Macaca mulatta: one gene and its partners. The protein of the gene in region 3 binds, or shares a complex with, the protein of the main gene of each other region. Links are inferred from orthologs where the notes say so. Each region holds a gene or a part of one and is shown on either strand. Other genes may lie near its edges.

Evidence for each region. Proteins that work in one complex are often made in the same cells at the same time.
Region 1: FBXL13 (region 3) and DRC1 share a complex: the UniProt entries of both Homo sapiens proteins name them as parts of the nexin-dynein regulatory complex. The link is inferred for Macaca mulatta from reciprocal best matches to the Homo sapiens genes FBXL13 and DRC1.
Region 2: FBXL13 (region 3) and DRC12 share a complex: the UniProt entries of both Homo sapiens proteins name them as parts of the nexin-dynein regulatory complex. The link is inferred for Macaca mulatta from reciprocal best matches to the Homo sapiens genes FBXL13 and DRC12.

The regions. Positions count from the first base shown.
Region 1 is NC_133418.1:98,606,332-98,610,081, forward strand, and holds the start of DRC1 (dynein regulatory complex protein 1), read right to left. Parts: upstream 2,530-3,750; 5' UTR 2,460-2,529; coding exon 2,305-2,459; intron 1-2,304. UniProt on the Homo sapiens protein: Component of the nexin-dynein regulatory complex (N-DRC) a key regulator of ciliary/flagellar motility which maintains the alignment and integrity of the distal axoneme and regulates microtubule sliding in motile axonemes.
Region 2 is NC_133419.1:119,883,610-119,887,359, reverse strand, and holds the start of DRC12 (dynein regulatory complex protein 12), read left to right. Parts: upstream 1-1,300; 5' UTR 1,301-1,345; coding exon 1,346-1,558; intron 1,559-1,856; coding exon 1,857-1,929; intron 1,930-2,355; coding exon 2,356-2,430; intron 2,431-3,498; coding exon 3,499-3,618; intron 3,619-3,750. UniProt on the Homo sapiens protein: Component of the nexin-dynein regulatory complex (N-DRC), a key regulator of ciliary/flagellar motility which maintains the alignment and integrity of the distal axoneme and regulates microtubule sliding in motile axonemes.
Region 3 is NC_133408.1:142,505,505-142,509,254, forward strand, and holds the end of FBXL13 (F-box and leucine-rich repeat protein 13), read right to left. Parts: intron 2,471-3,750; coding exon 2,281-2,470; 3' UTR 127-2,280; downstream 1-126. UniProt on the Homo sapiens protein: Substrate-recognition component of the SCF (SKP1-CUL1-F-box protein)-type E3 ubiquitin ligase complex.

The DNA of each region.
Region 1 (3,750 bases), on a different chromosome or scaffold from region 3:
CTGAACACAGCATCTACGCAAGTGTGGTAAGCTTCGCTAGAGCAAATTTGTACAGCCTCAGGCACAGTATGTGTGGCTACTGATTGGGTCAAATGCATGCTTTTCTACATCAGGAAAAAGAATCAGGAAGTTCACATTTACATGGAACAGACAATGATATACACTCACAAGTCTGTCACACTCACAGGACCATGGTAATTCTCCTGATCTCTGTCATAATATATTCTGAATACATCAGGGACATCTGGATATCCCAGAGAACATCACAATGATCCATTACTTCAGCACTGGCAAACTATGGCCTGTGGGCCAGATCCAGTCCACCACGTGCTTTTTTATGGCTTCCAGGCAAATAATGATTCTGACAATTTTTTTTTTTTTTTGAGATAGAGTCTCGCTCTGTTGCCCAGGCTGGAGTACAATGGCACGATCTCAGCTCACTGCAACCTCTGCCTCTTGGGTTCAAGCGATTCTCCTGCCTCAGTCTCCTGAGTAGCTGGGATTACAGGTGTACGCCACCATCCCTGGCTAATTTTTGTATTTTTAATAGCGACAGGGTTTCGCCATGTTGGTCAGGCTGGTCTCAAACTCCTGACCTCATGATCCCGCCCGCCTCAGCCTCCCGAAGTGTTGGGATTACAGGTATGAGCCACTGCGCCCGGCCCATTTTTTTTTTTTTTTTTTTTTTTTTTTTTTGAGACGGAGTTTTGCACTTGTCACCCAGGCTGGAGTGCAGTGGCACTATCTCAGTTCACTGCAACCTCCACCTCCCAGGTTCGAGCAATTCTCCTGCCTCAGGCTCCCAAGTAACTGAGATTACAGGTGCCTGCCACCACACCCAACTAATTTTTGTATTTTTAGTACAGACGGGGTTTCACCATGTTGGCCAGGCTGGCCTTGAACTCCTGACCTTAGGTGATCCTCCTGCCTTGGCCTCCCAAAGTGCTGGGATTACAGGCACAAGCTACAATTTTTTACAATTTTAAATGGTTAAAAAATATATAAATGAATGGTTAAAAAAGACTAGGATGAATAAGTAGAGCACAGGGGATTTTTAGGGCAGTGAAAATATTTGGTGTAATACCATATTGGTGGGCTCATGTCACTATAAATTTATTCAAACCCATAGGCTATACAACACCAAAAAGAAACCCTAAGGTAAACGATGGAGTTCAAGTGATAACGATGCGCCAAGGTTCATATATTGTTACAAATGTGCCTTCCAGTGCAGGATGTTGACAGTGGCTGTGCACGTGTGGTGGCAGGGAGTATATGGGAATGCTGTACTTTTGACCAATTTTGCTGTGATCCTAAAAACTGCTCTAAAAAATAAAGTTTATTATTATTTTTAATCAAAAGAAGGCTATTTTGTGATACATGAACAGTATATGAAATTCAAATTTCAGTGTCCATAAATAAAGCTTTATTGGAACACAGTCATGCCCATTTGTTTATGTCTTGCCTGTGGCTGCTTTTGCACTACAATGGCAGTTGAGCAGCTAGGAAAGACGCCATATGATCCCAAAAGCCTAAAATATTTACTATCTGGCCCTTTACTGAAAGGGTTTGCCAGCCCCTGCATTCCACTGATGGCCCTGCAGCAATCAGCCAGGATGAGCGAGTGATGGAAACACACTGCAGGGCTTGGTAAGACATGTGTGCTCCAGACGTTGGCAATCAACCCTATGAAGGCCCAGGGACTGCATGTCATTCAAGTTTGTAGGGGTCCAGTGGTCAGTGGCACACTGGGATAGCCTATCAAGTAAAAAACAAATCTACTGCGTTTTGCATCCTCTACAGAGAAGGAAACTCAATGCCTCTTAGACCACTTTGGGTCCTAGTACATCCCGCATTAGGAATACTATTCAGGCTGACACAAAAAGCTGCCAGCTTTGAGTGGTGCCTGGAACAGGAAAGGACCCAGGCCACAGTGTAAGCAGCCAGGCTACTTGGGCCACATGATCCAGCAGACCCTACGGTTTGGGGGTGTACGTAGTGGAAAAGATGCCATGTGCAGACCACAGTCGCGGGCCACCAGGCCCGATTAATATTTTGGTGTTTTATAGAGATGCGGTCTCTCTATGCTGCCCAGACTGATCATCTCGAACTCCTGGGCTCAAGTGATCCTCCCGCCTCGGCCTCCCTGAATGCTGGGATGACAGGCGCGCGTCGCGGCACCGGCCCAGCGTTTTACTTTCCCATACTCTGCATGAACCTTCCGGAAGAAATGTTTCTATTTCATCAGGAAACCAGCCCTGCTCCGGCCCCTGCTGCGCGATCCCGCCCCGCCCGCCCAGCGCTCACCGCCTCCGGGCTTCTAGGCGCGCCGCGATGCGGAGGCGCCGGGCCTGGATGCGCTCCTGAGGGTTGTCGGAGTGGACCGAGGGCGCGAGAATCTGGGTGGACAAGTGCTCGTCCAGGTTCGGGTCCAGGCCCGCTAGGGACCCCGGCGGATTCATGGCAGGAGTCCCCGGCACCTAGGCGGCTCCCTCCGCACCACCTCCAGACCGCAGGCTGGTTGCTAGCAACAAACCGTTGCCAGGGAGAGCGGTCACCGGTGCCACCGCCCGAGTGGTTGCGCGCGCAGCTCCCTGGGCCCAGCCCGCCGCCAGCCGCCATTCGGGCGGAGCATCCCAGCCTCGGGCTGACGCCTCTCCAGCCGGTGGCTTGTCAGGGCTGTTGTCAGCCCCACGAAGGCCCGGTCGTATTAGCGGAGCTGTGGAGTCTCACCAGGAGACTAGAGGACTAAAGAGCTGGACCAAGCTGTGGTTCATCACTTACTGACCTTGATGATTAATTCATCTTCCATTAATTCATCAAATATTCCTCCAACTCATAGTCACCAAATACAAATACAAATGTTTGTAAAAATACAAAACTTAGCTGGGTTTGGTGGTGGGCACCTGTAATCCCAGCTACTCGGGAGGCTGAGGCAGGAGAATCACTTGAATCTGGGAGGTGGATGTTGCAGTGAGCCGAGATCGAGCCACTGCACTCCATCCTGGGCAAGAGCAAGACTCTGTCTCAAACAAACCCAACCAACCAACCAACCAAATACTGGATACCATTTAACAGGGTTCTGTCCCATTAGCCCTTGGGGAATTAAGGGCACTGGATGAGCAGTGAGAAAGGGTGGGTACTAGTCCTAGCCCTGCCCTGCCACCTTGGGCAAGTCACAACTTCTTGAGGGCCATTTTCTCAGCTGTTAAATGGTGCAACCCACAGACAATTGTGGGGCCAAGAAGATCCACCCTTTGTGAGTAAGAACTGCCCAGAGGCAAATGGAGTGGGTTTTTAAAATCAGTTCTTCCAAGTTTGCAAGCAGTAGTAAGGTTTAGGAATGCCAAAACCATCCAACAGCTATAGAGTCTAACAGCAGCTGCCTGGATCCTTGCCTCACACCTGCCTAGGTGGTGGTGGTAGGAGGAGTGGGGGTAGTTGTTTCTAGGCTTCAGGGTCTTCTGCCAGATCTCTGTCTCCTTTGGTTGAAACCTAAAGCATTAAACTCTCCTAGGAGCCATGGTACAGCTCTGACCAAAAACTCACCCTGGTTCTGGTTCTTGTTTCCACTATCCATAAGGACAGAAACAAGTATGTGTGCATACGCATGTCTATGCCTGGGAGTAGGATACCATGAGAAAGTCAGTGGGAATCAGCTGTTGCACAAGAGATAAGTGAGAGCAAAGGTACCATACAAACCCATGAAAAGAGATCAGTGAGATACTTTGGCCCTACACTGTCCCGATACCA
Region 2 (3,750 bases), on a different chromosome or scaffold from region 3:
CAGTATGGTGCCCAGAGATCCAAGTGGCAGATAGATGGCAAGCCTCAGGATAGCACAGAGCTGCAGGGAGAGTGAAGGCTGCCTGACAAGGGAGGGCCACCCGTCATACTCTCTCCCCCACATTAATTATTCCAGCCACTCCTGGCTCCAGCAGGACACTAAGAAGTATCCCCAAAGGGAGTCACCCCCAATATTGCCCAGTAAATAATTTAAAAGCAAAAATGTGGGAAACTCAGGAGAAGGTCAAACAAGTCCACTAGAGGGAGCCCCAACCAACTCTATGCTGCAGGGAGCCTCACAAAGCAATGTCTCAACACCTGTCTGAAAATCAACCACACAAGGGAATGGGGAAATGTAGCAATAGATTAAGTAACTAGGAGAGAAGATAGCCATGTAAACACCTAGCTAAAACACAGGCTTTTCAAGAGCTACAAAATCAAACATTTAAAGATCAGGAAACTGATGCTGAGCAAAGTCAAATGGCTTGCCTCAGTTTACATATCCACAGTTGGGACTCAAACTCAAATGTCTTGTCTCTAACCTGAGCACTTTCCTGCACACTTGCATCCCTCTAGGTCAGTACCCTAGAGTCCATGGGTCTGCTGTTCCTTTGTGTCTCATTTCTCTGAAGTGGGAAACGCCCTCGACTACCTATTCCTGTACTTATTACCCTCATTCCACAGTGTACTGAAGAGGATCTTCAGTGGTTTGGGGTTTTTGTTTGTTTGTTTGTTTGTTTGTTTGAGACAGGGTCTCCCTCTGTCATCCAGGCTGGAGTGCAGTGGTGCAATCATAGCTCACTGCTGCCTCAACCTCCCAGGCTCAAGTGGTTCTCCTGCTTCAGCCTCCCGAGTAGCTGAGACTAACAGGTGTGCACCACCCTGCCAGGCTAATTTTTTAATTTTTTGTAGAAATGAGGTCTCACTGTGTTGTCCAGGCTGGTCTTGAACTCCTGGCCTCAAGTAATCCTCCTGCCTCAGCTTCTGAAAATGTTGGGATTATAGGCATGAGCCACCGCCCCCAGCTTAGATCTTCAGTTTTAAACCTACTAATGTCATTTTGCTGATGGGACCTCGGGATGTCAATTGTCCAACATGGCTACTGTCAGTCCTTTTCCTCTGTATCAGCACAACATATTATCTCAGATGTGTACATCTGAATTTGGAAGTCTCCAAATTGCAGGCCATGTCTACGTGGCAATGAATCATAACCAATCGGCCTCCAAAGCCCTTTCTTTTCAAACTATACTTAGGGTTTTGGGATAAGGAAAGAACTGACCCTTTGAGACCTTGATATTTTAAGCTTTGTGAGCTGATTTAGCCCATTCCACCTTCCTACGAACTCCATGTTTCCCAGTTGCCTGGACAACATACAGCCTCCCGAAACCCAACCTTCCAGCCCTCAGTCCTGCCCTCAAGAGAAATTTGTCACCAAGGATTGGCTCCCAGGACCCAGGCCCCGCCTCAGGCTCCTCGCTAGTTGGGCCTTCTCTCTGCCACTCCCCACGGGTGGGTCACTCCACAGGGAGCCCCAACACTGGCAGGAGAGGATCCTACAGGTAGGAAGAGGGGGTTGAGGATGATGGGAAGAGGGAGGGGAGCAGGTACAGGGATTTATCTAAAAGAGAGTTGTGAGGAGTGACTTCCGTACAGTCAGCCTGGTTGAGAGAAAAAACTTCACCCTCCCCGTTGACCCCAACCCTGCCTGAGGTTCCAAAGAGACTGTGAACTGACTTTTCTGAAGAGTATGAGATACAAATTTGGAGTAGAACCAGGAGACTCCCCTGAGACTCCTGATTCAGTCAGGAAAGCATCCCTGTGTCCAGACCTAAACATAAGGTCCCCTCCTTCTCCCAGGACAGCAAGGAGATGCCACTTAAAAACAAAGAAAAAGGGAAGAAATCTGGGGCGCAGAAGAAAAAGAACTGGGGTGAGTCATGGTGGGTGGAGGTGCCCCCTGCTTCTCCATGTTCTGGCATGAAGACCACGCAGAGCTCCTCCAGAGAGAATTCAGCCTTCTACATGACAGGATGGAACTCTCTTGACCTTCCTCTTTCGTGTCCTTGAAGTCAGATGCAGGGAGCTGAGGAAGTGGGGAAATGGTCACTCACGCTCTCCTTTAAGCACCATCTAGCTTTGTGCCTTCCTAATATATTTGTCATGTGTATTTTGCATATCTGTTATGTGCTGGTTGGTAAGGACACAGTGCTGACTTCAGTAGACTCTGCCACCATGGATCCCTCATTTAGTGGTCCTCAGGTCTCCTGTGGCAAAAGTGCAGGGTGTGGGGTGAGGACGCAAGGAGAGTGAGGAATGCTGAGATCACGAAGAGCTGAGGCTCTGCCACTTGCCACAGCAGGTGCAGATGTGGAGGCTGAGTCCAGGCACAGGCTGGTGGTGCTGGAGAAGGAGCTGCTCCGAGATCACTTGGGTAAGGAGGGTAGAAGTTGGCATGGGGGTGGGCAACAGGGCAAGTGAAATGGGGCATTTCTGTATCCTGGGGGATTGGAGAGTTGGAGATACAGTGGGGGGCTAAGTTGAACCCTAACCATCCCCTAGTGGAAAAAGACAATGAGAGAGGGGTGGGCAGTGAGAGTTGATAAAGGAAGCTTTTTTTTTTTTTTTAGACAGAATCTTGCTCTATTGCCCAGGCTGGACTGCAGTGGTGTGATCATAGCTCACTGTAATCTCAAACTCCTGGACCCCAACAATCTTCCCACCTCAGCTTCACGAGTAGCTGGTGCACACCACCCTACCTAGCTACTTTATTTATTTATTTATTTTTCTTTTTTAAAATTTATTTTATTTTATTATTTCATTTTATTTTATTTTACTATCTTTTTTTTTTAAGACAGAGTCCTGTGCTCTGTTGCCCAGGCTGGAGTGCAGTGGCGTGATCTTGGCTCACTGCAACCTCTGCCTCCCAGGCTCAAGTGATTCCCCTGCCTCGGCCTCCCAAGTAGCTGGGATTACAGGCACACAGCCACCACGCCCGGCTAATTTTTGTATTCTTATTAGAGACAGGTTTTCACCATGTTGGCCAAGCTGGTCTCGAACTCTTGACCTCATGATCCTCCCACCTTGGCCTCCCAAAGTGCTGGGATTACAGGCATGAGCCACTGCGCCTGGCCCTATTTATTTTTCTTATAGAGACAAGGTCTCACTCTGTTGCCCAGGCAGGTCTCAAACTCCTGGCCTCAAGCAATTCTCCCACCTAAGCCTCCCAAAATATTGGGATTACAGGCATGAGCCACCATGCCGGGCTATCCGGAAAGCTATTTTGTATAGGCAGAACATGGAGAGAGTCTTTACTTCTTAATAATGAGGAGCCTGTGAGACTCTAGGGATAAAAAACAAAAACAACAAAACCCAGAGAGAGAATAAGAGGCTGGACGCCCCGCCACCAGATTTCTAGAGACGGGCAAAATTCATCAAGTTCATGGGGGCTGATTTAGCGGGCCCCAGCCAGTCCTGACAGTGGCTCTGGGACTGCTCACAGCTCTACGGAGGGATGAAGCCCGTCGAGCCAAGGCTTCCGAAGACCAGCTGAAGCAGAGGCTGCAAAGGGTGGAGGCTGAGCTGGAAGGGGCCCGAAGTGAAGGGAAGGCCATATATGCAGGTGTGTGGTCTGTTGAGCAGGTGGGCAGGAGACAGGGGCCTGGAGGAAGACAACCAGCAGGGTCAGATGATGCAAGGAAGGGAAACAAGGAGGGCTTCCAACTGCCAGGCCTGGTCTTGGTCTTCCCCGAAC
Region 3 (3,750 bases):
TATACTATTAAGTAGAGGAAACTGTGTGGCAGTGAGGCAATTTTTATAATCTTTTTTCACCTTCATGCAATTACATAAACATTTTCATGACTAAAAATAAATTAGCCAATCACAGCCAGAAAAGTCATAAGCATAATAGCAGTCAACTATATTTAAACTATTAATGGAATTGTACATATTTGGATCACATTGTTAAGCCCCAGACAAAAAGAAAAAGCTGAAATATTTTACTCTCTTGGACACAGACCTATGAATATGAAATGTTTAAGGGCTAAAGACCTAACTAATATCTTTGATATTTTGAGTACTTTGCACTGAGAACTTAAAAGATTTCTCTACCTGTATACCTTACTTCTTGGTTCCTTTCATAGCTCACTTTTTCTACTCCTTTTTTTCATTTATGTAGCTGTAAAATTTGTCTCCCTGGAATGAATGAATGTGTCTTCTGTTCTTGTTTAAGAGAGGATGTTACTCAAAGAGCTTTGGAGCAAGCTCTGAATGTAAAGCAACCTGCTAGGTTTCTGGAGAATACGTAACAGGGTGTGTTTCTTACCGGGGTCTTCCCAGGGCAGGTGTCATTCCTTTAGAAAGCAATTGCCTCTTTTATAAGTTCCTCCAGTTGTGTGCATGGGCACTTAGGAATCAGATTTTTGAAAACATCTTTAATGCAGCTGCCAGAAATTTCCAAATTTAGGTTAAAACCGTACTCTTATGTCATCTTATGTCTCTTGGCTATGGTTCTAAAACTTCCCATTGAAATGATTCTGTTGCCTGTGTGCCCACTCCTAAGAACCTTTCCACAGCTAAGTAATATTACCTTATTTCAAAAACTTTGCAAATCAACCTCAGTGGGGGAGAATTACTAAAAGCATTTAGCTAATACAGGGTAACCTATAATAATACTTTGTACAATCTTTTTAAAACTTTTCAAAGTAACGATGCTTTAAGTTTTTAATCCTTGTTTGAAACTTGTGGAATACAAAAAGAGAACTCCACGTGAGAGATAAGTAATTGAGGAAATAGGTTAAAAGGCTGATCTGATATTGCTGACATAGCTTGTTTGCAGCAGTCAGAACAGAGTTGTGCTTTCTCTTGGACTGTGTCAACATCAGTGTTACATAATATCAAATAATGGTAAAAACCCACAGATGTGCTGGCTTCAGCAGCACATATACTAAAACCCACAGATTAAAGCTGATTAAAAACTAATATGTAGATATGCAATTAATAACCCATACTTCCTAGCATAAAATTGAGGGAGCATCTTTTTTGGCATAGCATAGTTTAAGAATTCCTCCATTGTGCAAATTTGATTAAAGAAATATCTTTCTGAGACATTGCAGGGACATTCTTTCTATTCAGATAGTTCTAGTTTCTATTTAATTTGCCCCTGACTAAGTCAAATATTGAGATAAGTCCAGAGTTAATTGGTGGCATTTAGTTCTCTTTTGTTGTTAAATGTCTGGAAACCACAGGAAAGCCACATTTCCTTTGAAAATATTAATATATGTCTGTATTCTTTATAAAACTTTATAAAGCACCACAGATCCTTAAAGTTATGGCCCTGGCTCAAACTCTTAGTTTGACATATGGCCATCTCTGCTTTCTTTTTCCTTTCTAGAGAAAAATTTCTTAATTTCTTATAAAAAAAAAATCTCATCTCTCAGGGTTGTTTCATATAACTTTACATTTTATATCTCATCAAAAAACTATTGGTTTGATTAAATTTAGGCAGAAATTTTATGTAGTCAGTACTTGATTTGGCTTCTTTTTTTTGTTTGTTTTTTGTTTTGTTTTTGAGACAGAGTCTTGCTCTTTCGCCCAGGCTGGAGTGTAGTGGCGTGATCTAGGCTCACTGCAACTTCCGCCTCTCAGGTTCAAGCGAGTCCTCTGCCTCAGCCACCCGAGTAGCTGGGATTACAGGCGCTCACCACCACAGCCAGCTAATTTTTGTAGTTTTAGTGGAGATGGAGTTTTACCATGTTGGCCAGGCTGGTCTCGAACTCCTGACCTTATGATCCACCTGCCTCGGCCTCCCAAAGTGCTAGGATTACAGGCATGAGCCACTGCTCCCGGCCTGGCTTCTTTTTTAAATCATGATTATTTAGACAGAAGAACTACTGATGTATTTGGAAATATTTGTAGTTGGAATAAGAATCAGAAGATGGTTTGTTGCTTGTTTACATTGTTATTGAGATTCAGCTAGTGAACATACTTGCAACAAATGGAGAAAACTTGTCAAGTTCTTGATTTGTTGTTTTTCCTGCTTGAGGCTGAAGGTCACGCTGCTTGCTCTTCACTGCTGTATGTTGACTTTTCCACTGTTAATTCTGAGGCTCCTTTAGATGGTGTTACATTGTCAAGCTCTGTAAGAGGGTCTCCTTCCCTATCATAGCCAAACCAACGTGGAGGGTCATTAGAGTTGTATTCCTGCTGCTGAACTTTAGATGACATTCTCTGAGCTGCCTTCCTGTAATAACAGTGCTTAGCATTAGCTAGTTGCAGAAGTAATCCCTAGTGCAGAATTTTCAAACTCAACCAAATTTGGAGTTAGAGAATTCACTGTCACAATTTGAATTCACATCAGACCTCTCTTGCCTTGCTGAGAGTGAGGAGATGGGTAAATGTACAAATAAAGAGGGTCCCAAAGCCTCAGTAGCTCTGATTCAACCACTTCAGAAATTAACAGATACAGTGAATGGGTAAGGAAACTACACATGGCCATGGAAGAGGAACACTGAGGCCTCTATTTATTTACACTGCTTTGAGTAAGCCCCTTCCTTGGTATTTCTAGTTTCTCTGATGAGGGAGTAACCTAACCACCCTACCTGTGAAGGCTGACCATGCACCAGGCCAGGAGCTCTTAACCCAGAGTTCACAGATCCCTTTCACAGATCCCTTTTGACTACATGGATGAACTTCAGGGAGGTCCATGTACTCCCTGAAAGTTCATGCAGTTTTGTCTATAATACACATTTTTATGAGGTTTGTGACTCAAAGGTGTCCATGACCAAAGTGATTAAAAAATACTGTTATAGTCTTTCTTAGGAGGAAATAAGAAAGTAAAGAAGGCATCAGAAAAAAAGTATGTCTAACTTGAAAACAAAGCCATTGTGAGGACAGAAGGAAGAATTTCCTTTCCTAGAAAGTTGGTTTGAATCACGAGATTAGTACTAAAAAGGAGATGAGCAATTGACCACTTCTGTAGGATTAGAAATTAGTAACTGTGATGTTTACCCATGAAGGCACTACCTTCTCCACTCTTGCTGTATGTTACATTGAGTTATTAATTGCAAAAGTCTGGAAACTGAGTCATTGATATGGAGCTGGCATTACCATACACTTTGAGTTAAGTTTGTGCTGAATGGCGATATGAGTTCAGGTAAGGCAATGAAATAGGAAGAAAAAACCCCAACAACACAGAGATAGCAGTTTAAATTGCTGTTACAGTTAAGTTGAACTTTAGATGTATTAAAATAATTGTAACCAAACTCAACAGGGAGATAACCAAAGCATTGCTAATTCTGCCTCTAAGCACATTGCTTTTTAACTGATATATCTGCTCTCACACAAAACTTCTACATACTTAAAGAACAAATTGAGTAAAAGCAATGATCATATACTAATTTCTAGTTTGAAGCCACCAATCCCTATGGACTAAAACTTGGCAAACAAGTTTATTCTCTTCAGAGAAATATTTATTCTCAGTTTTGAAAATGATAAGTTTATTGTCAAAGATAATGTTTTGCA